2 linked regions of the Drosophila melanogaster genome follow. The gene in region 1 interacts genetically with each later gene. Each region holds a gene or a part of one and is shown in the gene's direction. Other genes may lie near its edges.

The links.
Region 2: of CG1090 (region 1) and Pvr, changing one enhances a phenotype caused by changing the other (phenotypic enhancement), as found in Drosophila melanogaster (one study listed by BioGRID).

Annotation. Positions count from the first base shown.
Region 1 is NT_033777.3:4,358,281-4,365,909, forward strand, and holds the start of CG1090 (uncharacterized protein), read left to right. Parts: upstream 1-1,602; 5' UTR 1,603-1,687; exon of another isoform or gene 1,688-2,220; intron 2,221-4,997; 5' UTR 4,998-5,027; coding exon 5,028-5,228; intron 5,229-5,281; coding exon 5,282-5,516; coding exon of another isoform or gene 5,517-5,707; exon of another isoform or gene 5,708-5,936; coding exon 5,937-6,226; intron 6,227-6,285; coding exon 6,286-7,261; exon of another isoform or gene 7,262-7,421; coding exon 7,422-7,610; intron 7,611-7,629. UniProt on the Drosophila melanogaster protein: May function in the removal and maintenance of calcium homeostasis. Transports one Ca(2+) and 1 K(+) in exchange for 4 Na(+).
Region 2 is NT_033779.5:8,236,831-8,241,741, reverse strand, and holds the start of Pvr (PDGF- and VEGF-receptor related), read left to right. Parts: upstream 1-1,863; 5' UTR 1,864-2,050; exon of another isoform or gene 2,051-2,823; intron 2,824-4,911. Other genes in the region: Spn28F (serpin 28F), read left to right, coding at 49-887, 947-1,085, 1,141-1,277.

The DNA of each region.
Region 1 (7,629 bases):
CTTGAAATTTTTCTTTATACTAATAAATGTATACTTTATTAAATAGTTTTAGTGGTCAAACCTATTCAATTGAGCCAACAAAATGAAGATTTTTTGTTGTTTTTGAAAAAAAAAAAAAAATAAAAAAGAATATAAACACAAATTTAAGAGATCAGAAACTTTGCTATTTAACAAATGACTGATCTATTCATACATACAAATTTATTTCGCTTAAATCGGATTGCATATAACTAAGTTACAACGTTTCAAACCTAAACAAATAGTCAAACCTATTCAGTTGAGAGGCATTCGCATGATGCCCGCAGCACGGAGTTTAGCCGGCGCCTTAATTGGGATTCATGGCCATCATTCTTGCTGAGTTCTTTTAATTAACATACTCTTCAATGTAATAGGACGACGATTAAAGCAGTTGTCATTAATATTCTTCTTAGCAAAATTAAAAGCCATGCCTGCTCAACTTTTCTATGGCAAGAGATATACATTACTTACCTATGCATTTATTATATTCATTAAAAAATATCTTGAGGTAAGCTGGTCCTAGCCACACGTTAACATAAAATGAAAGTGATATATTTTTCGTTGAACTGTCCACGAAAGAACATGCGCTGTTTTTTCGTAGAACTGCAAATATTTCTGGAGTTTGGCAGACAGTCTGGCATCTTTATGAACCCTAAAGATCCATCGACTAATAATTAAGCCATAACCTGTTACAATTGAGGAACTGTAAGCCGTCATATTTCTTGGATGGGCTCAGTAGTCTCCGGAGCGCTCCCATTAATTAGACGAATTGTCTATTTGTAGGTGTCAACAGGTAAATTTGTCATTGTTCAAGCGGTTTTTTTGTAGGTGACGATTCAGAAGGACGACGGAGACATGTCCTCTAAAGAACTGTGTTTTCGCAGAGGCATGCTTAGCTAGCGGCAAGATCTGAGAAAGCGGCAAGTCACGTTGCACATCTAAAGGATAATGTGGCAAAATCCAGACAAATGCTGTCCTTAGCGGCACTTCAAATGATGCGCTGACAGAGGTTGCTTGTTTGCTGTTTGACTATGCCATCGCAATTGACGTTTGATGGCTAGGCTGTGCGCAAATAAATAATAATCAAACAAATACATATGTACTACAATGCTATCCCTCGTTATTCTTAGGCTTGAGAATTTCTCCATAACAACCCTGCACGAGGAGCTTTGCTATCGATATAAAATTGAAGTGGAGGAATATATACATACATATCATTGTATGTATGACGTATATCATACATATCATAATTCAATTGTGATATCTCTGAGTTTTTCTTATTTTATATTTCTTACTCCATTCGAAAGTTTTTCCATCCAACAGCGAAAAGTTAGTTAAAATGTTTCAATTTGTTGCCAGCTTATAATTTCCACGGACCACGACTTGGAAAGCTGTCTATAGATGGCGCTACCGGACCACTCACTCGCACCCACAACCACCACCCCCACCCACACCGAAGCCATTTCCCAGGCGTCGCACTTTCTTATTTCACATTTCCGGCCGAAGCGTTCGGCTGTGGTGGATTGCCACTGGTGGACGTCCGCTCCATCCGTGCGAAGTTGTGCGGTAGACGACGACGCTGCATCAGTTCGCGCTCAGACGTCATCGGTGGAAAACCAGGCCAGCTCGATCCACTCTAGCCGTGTCTCGTCTCGTTTTAGTCCGTGAGGTACTCGATTCGAACCGCATATACTCGTCCACGTTCGCCCGGCGAGGAAAAGGGCGAAAATCATCGATTGTAAAATGATATGCTAGGCGAAACCCTACTTCAAAGCCCCCAGTGAACCGAGATTAAGTTAAAGGCCTATGGATTAGTGGAGCTGGCCAAGTGAACTCAACTCTCCGCCTGATTCCTCACATGTTTTCCAAGGCAACTGTTTCTTCTGTATCTGTTTTCCGTTAAAAATTTAACTACCGCCTGCAATTAACGAGCCCAAAAGTCCGCGGAGAGTGAACCTAGAGCAGCGCCACCAGGCAACAGTGAAAATGGTAAAAAGTGATTATGAAATGGGCCACAAGGTGCAGGCCTAATCCGCTGAGCCATGTTTATGCACATCCTTTGCCTTAATGCAAATTGCAAGTCAATTGTCACCCCTCGACTCTTGTTGAAGGAGCAGAATGGGGCAGAAGCAGAAGCAGCGCATTTGCTTTTCTATGCCCCATTGTCTTGCGCCGCTGAAGTAAAATACGAACGTGTATGATGTAAGCTCAGCTACCACAGCTTTTCTTTCCTCCCAGTCCGACGCCACTGTCCCCTAGTCTATTAAATAAGCATAGTCATTTATTTTTATAAGATGACGCCGTCATCGTGGATTCCTTCCCCCTCTTCCCATATCTCTCAGCAGACCCGTGGAGGCAACAACAGCATCACCAGTAACAACAACGGTAACTAACGGCAAAAGTCAACCGAAAACCACTGCGGCACTCTTGCAACCTTACCCAACAGCAAGCGGGAGTAAGGGTGCTGTCAGCGCAGGAGGGTCACGGGGAGAGGAAAGCGTAACTGTAAATCGATATTTTGCGGCATGACCGAGTGGCCCGAAAGGGGGGCACTGAGCTCACGGAATGGTGTGGTGGCTTTGGTTTCGTTAGTCACTCAGTCATACTGACGCCGCCAAGACCTTCGCATCACGCCCCACACTCCTCACGATGCTATCTCTGTATCCCAGGGCCGGTCGTGTTTAATGGTGAACTCCCCACTTGCTCTCGCTGCTCCCTCGCGCTCTCGCTCTCTCTTAAGAGAGAGGGAGAGGAGAGTCCCGACGCTCGGGAATTTGCTTTAAGTGTGCGCTGTTATCACACCAGCAGCAACAACAATAACAATATCAACTTCAATTATTCAATCACATCTGCGTTTATAGATTATAGTGGATTCAGCATTGTCAGAACTCTAGAAGTTGGGAGACAAGGTCCATAGTGTCAGATGGTATAGAAACTCTAGTGCACAATAAGTGCTGTACTTTCTCTTAAACAATGAAATTACTTAAGCATTCATAATTCTGTGCTCCCTAATATGTTTTTATGTTCATACAAATGTATGTAACTTTTCCAAACGTTTAGAGTCTAAGACAAAAGTGGCTTTAATGTTGAAAAAGAGCTGCGTTAAACTGGCCTCAAAATAAAAATTTTTCGAACCCTTTTTTTTAACATTGCAGAGGGCATTTTAATTTGAGTCAGTAGCTTGCAACGCAGCAACTAAGATATTTGCGAGCATATAAAGTATATATTCTTGATCAGTATTAACAACCGAGTTTATATGTCTATGTCCGTCTGACCAAACGTTTTTTCTGCACAAAGCATTCAACTTTCTGCTTTCTATTGCAGGTTTTAAATATACATATATTCGAATCGAAACACTATATATATTATATGGTTTCCATGGAATACCGGGGAAATAAATGGAAAAAAATTTGCATCGGTGGTTTCGATTATAAAGTGCTTTAAATAAATAGGTGAGCAGGTTTACTATCTGCTCCACCTAGTCGTCTGGTCTTGTTCGTATAAACGCAGTGATATCGGGAACTATAAAATATACAATGTTGAGATGGACACCATTTTAATTTATTTTCGGCATTTTCAATCGCTATGCTGACAAAATATATGAATATACATATATGAAATATCATTTTTTCACTTCTACTAACTGGGTAAAGCGTATCGGACAGTCAGGGGAAGATTTATGTATGTATGCACACCTCCTGCATTGGATCTACATACCGAAAATTGAAAAGTATGTAACAGGCAGAAGGAAGCGTTTCCGACCATATGAAGTACATATATTCCTGATCAGAATCAATAGCCAAGTCGATCTAGCCATGTCCGTATGAACGTCGAGATCTCAGGAACTATAAAAGCCAGAAGGTTGATATTAAGAATACAGATTCTAGAGCAATGTTTCCACGCCCACTCTAACGCCCACAAACCGCCCAAAACTGCCAAGCCCATACTTTTGAAAATGTTTTGATATTTTTTCATTTTTTTTTAAACAATTTTTAATTTTTTCTAATTTTTATCACCAATAACTATCGATATCCCAGAAAATTATGAAATTTCGAAGATCTGATAGTCGAGAAGTCGACTATTGTATTCTTTATTGTTTTTGTCGGAAAATGTAATATAAACATACAAGGTAAAATTCCAGACAAAAGGGCTTAAAGCTTAGGTAAACTTGAGTTTTGGTAAGAAGATATGTATGTTCTTATATGAATATTTTGTGTGGTTGGCCTTACTGTAGTTCAAACTATTGTATGTAGGTGTCACATTTCTACCAAAGAGCGGCAGACAAAGCTGGCTTGTGCAATAAGCCAACCACCATACCCCAGCATAAAAAATCTTAGTACTCCATTATTTCCTTTCCAAGCTGTTATTTGTACACTGTCAAATGAGTTTGTTAGTTTGTGTCAAATTAACAAACACTGATTGATAAAGGAAATCGTTTTTGAAGGGATATCACAGATTAAGTATTTGGTCATTCCATTATGCGAAGCTTTTCTATATATAAAACTCAAAGAATGTTCTTATAATAAGCCTTAATCGGACAGTAAACTTTTTAACTCTATTTATACCATTGCAGGGTGTAAAATGATTTTCAGTCTGAAGTTTGCTACACAAGACTATTGTGATGTTGGTAATATCAAGACAATAGAATAATATTCTGGCGTCTTTGGTAATATAGACAAGTCATGCTCAAATACTCAAAATTGATCGTTTTCATTAAAGAAACGTCTATACCATTAATAAGTAGTACATATGTTCACCTTATCACATTGATGGGAACCAGCTTGGTCTGTTAACTCTTTAAAACCTAGGGTATGTCCCAAAGGCTACCAAAAACATTTATTAAATGAATTCTAGAATTAATGATATATTGAAAGTAATGGAGAGTTATCACGTTTTTGTTTAGAAACATGTCGTTTTAGTGGCCGGAATCGAACATCATACATATGTAAACCGCGCTAACCTAAATATTTCCTTTGCAGATTGTACGCAGTCGATCCCGCCGTGCCCGCATGTGGAACATGGGGCTGCTGTTCTTAATATACTATTGCGTCAGCATCTACTCCGCCAAAGGAGACACCAAGGACGGACAGGTCCTGCCTCTGGATGTGGGCGCTCTGGCCGAGGACGCTGGCGATGCCGAGGCCAACGGAGAGGATACTCCAGAGAGAAACTCAGAGAGTTCCGTTCTGGACACAACACTGGCGTTTGAGGTACCGTGTCATAAAGATCCACGACCACTTAGGACTAAAACCTTCTCCGATAGCCTCAGGCGAGTACACAATCGACTCCCATTCATGGCGCGGTTCCCACCTGGCGCCCAAAGCGGGACAACTGCACGCCCCCGGCTATCGAGCAGTTTCCACAGCCGCTGATGAATAAGTGGGCGCGACAGCACGGCGGCCTTATCCTCCACATACTGGTGGCAGTCTTCACTTTCTTCGGGTTGGCAATAGTTTGCGATGAGTACTTTGTGGCCAGTCTGGATCGGCTTTGCGAGGGTGAGTCCTCAGCCAAACAAAAAGTGGCGATCGATACTTTAGCATACAAAATTGAATATCAACTTTTCGGTTGTGTATTTAGAAAGGCAATCAATTTTGCATTTGAAGAAGCGTCGTGGCTTGTTTTTTACCTCGCCATGACCACTCGTTATGATCAACCACTGCAAGCTTTAATTTCTTCGTGTATGTAATGTATTTATTATGTATTTTGCCAAAATATTGATGGGTAACCCTTTATAACCGGCCCAGCCACAGGCGATTTTATTTTTCGATCACTGACAGGCACCGAAGTGATAATGGTTATATGATCACATTTTTTCTGGCGAGGTGTGAATACTGAAATATTTTAAATATTCAACTATTTGGTGCAGCAAAAGGATTATTATAATATCCGTCACTCGTTTGTTTATTCCATTTAAGAGCTAAAGCTATCGCCAGATGTTGCGGGAGCCACGTTTATGGCTGCCGGAAGCTCGGCTCCTGAACTGGCCACTGTGGTGATAGGAGTGTTCTTTGCTAAGGACGACATCGGCATCAGCGGGGTCATCGGATCGGCCGTTTTTAACATTATGTTCGTGATCTCTGTCTGCGCCCTGTGCTCGGGTACCGTCTGCCAACTGAACTGGTGGCCCCTGGTGCGGGACTGCTTCTTCTACTGTGTTTCTATTCTTGTAATGTTAATAATCATCTTCAATGACGTTATATCATGCGTAAGTTACGACCAAATAGAAACCATCGTTATCGTCATCTGATATCCTTTTTTTTTTAGTTTGAGTCCGTCGTGATGCTCCTCTGCTACGTAGGATACTGCGTGGCCCTCCATTTCAATACGGAGCTGGAACGCTGGGCACTGGGTCTGAATTTACCCTTCAAGCTACCTAGTAAGGAAGAGCAGTCAGCACTGGTAACCTACAAAAATGTTCCAGAAGGCTCCTACACCCAAGAAAGTGTCGGCCAGACCCAGGGACAGAAGGCCACCGATGATAGCGAGACCAGAAGTGCGAAGCCGCAAAGCGACTACCAGGACTACAGCGATCCGAATCCGACATGGGACCCGAACGCCGCATGGGGAGATGAGAGCCAGCCGAATCCAGTGGCCAATCCTCCGCCCGTTGACGACTGGGGAATGGGTCACAGTGGTCAGGAAAACATGGGCTACCATGCCGACCAGCCCGAGTCTGTGGTAACAGGCGATGGTCCACCTGCGGCCGTCAAGAGTGGTGGCCAGGTTGTGTCTACTCAGGCCACCTCGGCCGGAGGCAACGACTACTACAAGTCCACGGACAAGCAGCGAGAACCGCGCCGCGATCCTCTACTGCGTCCCATGGAAGGAGGGCTGCCAGCTCTGGTTTCCTGGTACGTGGTCTACCCGATCCACTTTCTCTGCAAGAAGACGATGCCGGACTGCCGGCAGGAGCAGTATCGCAACTGGTACCCCTTCACCTTCCTAATGTCGATGGTGTGGATATCGTTCTACTCTTACTTTATGGTGTGGATGATCACCGTGATTGGGTCCACGCTTGCCATTCCGGACACCGTAATGGGTTTGACGTTTGTGGCCGCTGGCGTGTCTGTCCCGGATGCCCTAAGCTCAATAGCCGTTATCAAAGAGGGCTTTGGCGACATGGCCGTGTCGAACGCTATAGGCTCGAATGTCTTTGATATACTAGTGTGCTTAGGTCTTCCCTGGTTCATACAGACGGCCATCATTAAGCCCGGCTCGCACGTCAACGTAATATCCAAGGGTATGTATTGCTTGCGTGTCTATCTACCTTGTAGTCATCGTCGTGTGTCCTTGGCATGAGAGTCCTAGGCCAAGTAGCAGCGCTCGTAATACCGTTCAAGTCTAATCCTTAGGTGCTATTTCCCTCTCCTGTCTGTTTTCCAAACAATTTCGATTTTCAGGACTGGCTTACTCCACGCTGTCGCTCTTCTCCACCGTCGTCTTCTTAATTCTGTCGACGCACTTGAACGGATGGAAGCTGGACAAGCGACTCGGCATAATTCTTATGGTCTGGTATTTGTTCTTCATCACACTGGCGTCGCTTTACGAGTTAAATGTCTTCGGCTACATGAACCCACCCGAGTGCCCCAGTTAGTATGCACCACAGGG
Region 2 (4,911 bases), on another chromosome or scaffold:
ATAAAATACAAGTTAATCAAAGAGGAATAGGTAATAATTGCAACGCAGGTCTGCTTCTTTTGGCCACGTCGGTATCTTGTCGCTTTGCCGACGATTTCTACCAACTTTTGGCCAAGGAAAATGCGGCCAATAATCTCATTTCCTCTCCCCTTTCCGTGGAAATCGCACTGAGCATGGCCTACATGGGAGCCAGGGCAAAGACAGCCCAAGAAATGAGGAATGTTTTGAAACTGCCCGATGACAAAAAGGAAGTGGCAGCCAAATACAAGGACCTTCTGAGTAAACTCGAAGGACGCGAGAAGGTAGCCACTCTCAGTTTGGCTAATCGCATATACGTGAACAAAAAGTTCCAGCTAGTACCGAGTTACAATCAGATGGTCAAGGATTCATTTATGGCTGAAGCGGAGGCAATCGACATTGTCGATCCCAATAAGGCTTCTTCAATTGTCAATAATTGGGTAGATAATCAGACGCGTGGTAAAATCAAAGACTTAGTTTCATCCAATGACATGTCGAAAATGGAATTGATCGTCTTAAATGCCATATACTTTAAAGGCCAGTGGGAGTACAAATTTAATCCCAAGTTAACGAAGAAGAGGAATTTCCGTGTTTCGGATCAAAAGAGTGTTCCTGTCGAGATGATGTCACTATTTCAATCATTTAGGGCCGCACATGATAGTGAACTGGGTGCCAAAATTATCGAGCTGCCCTACAGAAATTCAAGCCTGTCCATGCTAATTTTTCTACCGGACCAGGTCGATGGACTATCAGAGCTGGAGAAAAAGATTGTAGGATTCAAACCGAAACTTTCCAAAATGGATGTAACTTTAAGGCTTCCCAAGTTTAAAATCGAATTCTTCGCTCAACTAAACAAAGTTCTTGTGGCGGTGAGTATTCACAGATTATTCTTGATACACCCTTACAATTTATAGATATTCATCTATAGATGGGCATACAAGATGCGTTCGAAAAATCTGCTGACTTCAAAGATCTGGTCGAAAACAGTAACGTTCATGTGAAAAAAGTCATTCATAAGGCGTTCATCGAGGTTAATGAAGAAGGAGCTGAGGCAGCGGCTGCAACAGGTATGATATAATTTTATTATATATATATTTGTATAATATGTTTTATTTTTGCCAGCTTTACTTTTCGTGCGCTATAGTATGCCTATGCCGTCATCTCAAATGGTTTTTAATGCCGATCATCCTTTTGCCTATGTCATTCGCGATAGGGAAACCATTTATTTCCAGGGCCACTTTGTGAAACCGAATGAATAAAATGTACTATTTCTTATCAATAATAAATGGAAATTGTATTATACTTTATTGTAGAATAAAAGGATTTACCAGTTTCCTGAAAATATTTAATAGGTGGAAAGTAGTGAAAATGCTATAGTCGAGACCCTTATAAATCACAATCCCCTTACTCAGCTGACAAATCGTTAGAAATGCTTAAATGATACTAAATATTATTTAATAAAAGAAAACTTTATTTTAAGCACTTCGATCTAAAACTAAAACCGTTAGGAAATTTAGTACGCATGGCATCACTGGCCGCCACTGGCCAACTGGAACTGTTTTCAAGCGGTCTGGCATCGCCGCGAATAGCGTGATTGCGTTCAATTTTTAGCTCGTTATTTAGTACACTTCACCTTTCAAAATAATAATGAAATAATAATAAAAGGAAACTAAACGAGAGATAAACTCCCTAACGAAACAAGAAAATTCAAATGATGTTGACTAAAGATATAACAAAAATATTATTCTATCCGTTCTATTCTACATGCTGTAGATAACGCTCATCGATAGCAAAAAATAACAATCGAATCGGATACCTCGATAGTACCGTCGATAGTGCCCCAGCTCTAGTTAACGTTAACTTTTCGAGCTGTTCGGACGTCAAAGCGGAAGGAAATTTCGCGGGCTTTTGACTTGTGTTCGGTGCAAACTGTTCAAACTTTGCCGACGACGCAGTATTTATTGTCTTTCAAGAGCAACCGATACTGCTGAAGTGCCCCACGCAGAAAGTGTTAAGCACAGAAAACCACAACGTAAGCGTTAATTTTTGAAAGGCTCGAAGATACGTCCGATAATATAGATATAGAATCGTGTGGAAACGAAACCAAATCGTGTCGTATATAAGTATAAGTGAAGCATCAAAGGTGCTAAGCAAATGAATCCGCACTCAAAAGTTTAGATATCGATGTGAGCGAACCCCCACACCTTCGCAAAAGTAAAAAACAAACACAGATACGAATCGGAATTCGAATACAAGTGCAAACTCAGCCACAGGTGGTTGACAAGAGTTCTAAGTGATTGTCAATCGTAAGCTCGAAAATCGAAATCGAATTCGGCGCTCGTGATGTTGCTCAATTCGATGCAATTATACAAAAAAAAAACACCCAAAATAGTCATGGTCACTATGCTCCTATAGATGGTGTACATAATGAACTATTATCAGTGACCTTTTTCTAAGTGCGTGTGTGTGTGTGTGTGCTATTATCACTGCCTGGTATTATTCATTGATAAGTGCATATAAGTGTTGGGTCTACGAAAAGTGTGCGTGTGTCTATGGTGAATACGTCAGCGGCATTCCAAGTAATCAAGACTGCAAACATCCACCGGTGCCAGGTATTCAAATCGTGATTCATCGCCGATCGTGACTGTTGTACGTTCAAAAGTTGTTGTTGTATCTTCAATAGTTGTTGTTGTTGCCAAGCTGCTGCGATCAAACGGTAGACTGCGTAAGACTATGAAAATATGAATAACACTACGATGGATTTCGAATTTACTCATACTGCTTTTCCAGAAACACCCAAATAAAGTTGGTATATATACATATATATGTACATATATATATAGAAGAAAGGGTTCACCTTTCTTTTGTTTGCCTGGTCAACTGAATGTGTCTATAGCGACTTTCTTAAACCGGTTCCACGCCATCCGTTTCTTGACCAAACGAACTGTTGATACATTTTCCCCCAATACGTGACTCAGGATCGAGAAGTTCTGATCAAATCAGATGCCCATAATTCATTGCCTCCAATTGCACACTGTGCCCAATTTGTTTATTGAATACAGACCTCCTTCAGTTTGCCGACTGCTCCATTTATCTCTGGCCACTTCAAAAGGCTGCCCAGCCCAGGCTGTTGTTAATTGCCATCGTTCTCAATGTCCGGAAAATGTGGTACAAAACTGCTACGAATCGTCAAAGTTTGGAGTCATAAAAATGTCCGCGAATGGTGTTGATGAAATATTTATTGTAATTCCCCTGGCCAAATTCGCAATTCACCTGGCATCAAGCGTTGAACAACTGTTGTGATAAGCCAGAATAATCAATGGATACTAGTGGTTCTTGGAAAATGTGCACCCATCACATTGCTACTGGCCACTTGCACCTCTTTTTCACACCTACCCATTATGCACATGGCACATTAATCAGGTGGGGCTTATGGCCAAGTATCCACCAGATACGCACACCTGCCCCGCCCCCCGCAGTGGGTGTCAAATTAGAGATACTTTACTGTAGTTGATTGTGCTGAAGTAGAGAGCTCCATTACGAATAAATTACTTTGTATGCACTGGAAAAAATGAACAAAGTAGTTCTTTCGCATTAATAGAAACTAATTATAAATACACACAAAATATTTAAGCAGAACTCGCCGAAAATAGACTTCAAAATAATCAAAGAATGTGTGTGACAACGAATTTGTGTGCATTTCAAGCGATTGTAATATCTCTAGAGATATTTAGAATGCTGATATGTATTATTGCACAAGAGATCTTTTTAATCTCAAGAGGATTGCTTATGCACAGAAGATTGACTTCCTGTTGTAGATAAAAACACTAGAATTGAGTTTAGGTACATTTTGTACATCTGTAGAGAGAAAAATCATTTTGCGTTTCTCTAAGGCAGTTCGGATAAGCTGAAACATTTTTGAGAAACCCCTTAACTCTTTGGGCGAATTGGCTCATAAATTTCCATTTAAGATAATATCTGTTTAATTGAATTTGCCGGTTACCAATAAGCCATAAATAAAACCGATTCGTTGGACAATCTCGGCCAGCATTGAACACGTTTTCACACCACTTTGTTGGTTGGCTGGCTGGTTGGTTGGTTGGTTTGGCATTCTATGAATGGACACCTTCGCCTCTTTACATCCGCCGTGGTCTGAGTCAGAACGTAAATAATAAATAACAAATAATAAATTGACAGCGGACAACAAATGTTTTGGCCAGGCCATTGTAACTGTCTGCATGGAGAGGTGGAAATAACTTGGCCATAAATCTGCAAAAAAAAAGGCTAAGCAGGCAATTGGCTTTCACCTGAGCCCTAGACTAAAGCCCATTCATAAGCGCTGGAAACTTTAGACTAAAGCCCATTCGTTGGGAAAATTTTATCTGCCCCATAAACTGCACGTAATCAAGTGCACTTCGGAGAATCAGGGAAATAAGAAAATATATGTATATATATATATAAAAGCAATCTTATTTCCGTCGGGAATAAAATGGCAGAAGGCAGCCAGCCAGTCAAAACAAAAAATGCATTGAGTAAACAAATCGCATAAAATTGAGCCATGTTTTGAGGTCACGGCGAGGCACTAAATGGGCTATATACATTGGCCATATTTATTTATTAATCGGGCGAAACCCAAAACAAACAAATTAAACACTTGTCGGCTATTAAGTGAACGCATATAACATTTCTATTTATTCGCCAGCAGCTGGCCAACCAACCAACTTGTTGTCGCCACGCGTTGTAGTTGTATAATATGTGGGCAGAATGCCAACGATTCAATTTCACCGGCAATGGTCTTTCTATTATTTTTATTAAGTTCCCAGTTTATGGAAAAGAAAAGAAACAACTTTTCCAAATCTCTCGAGTGACAACTGAAGAGTTATACAACCGAAA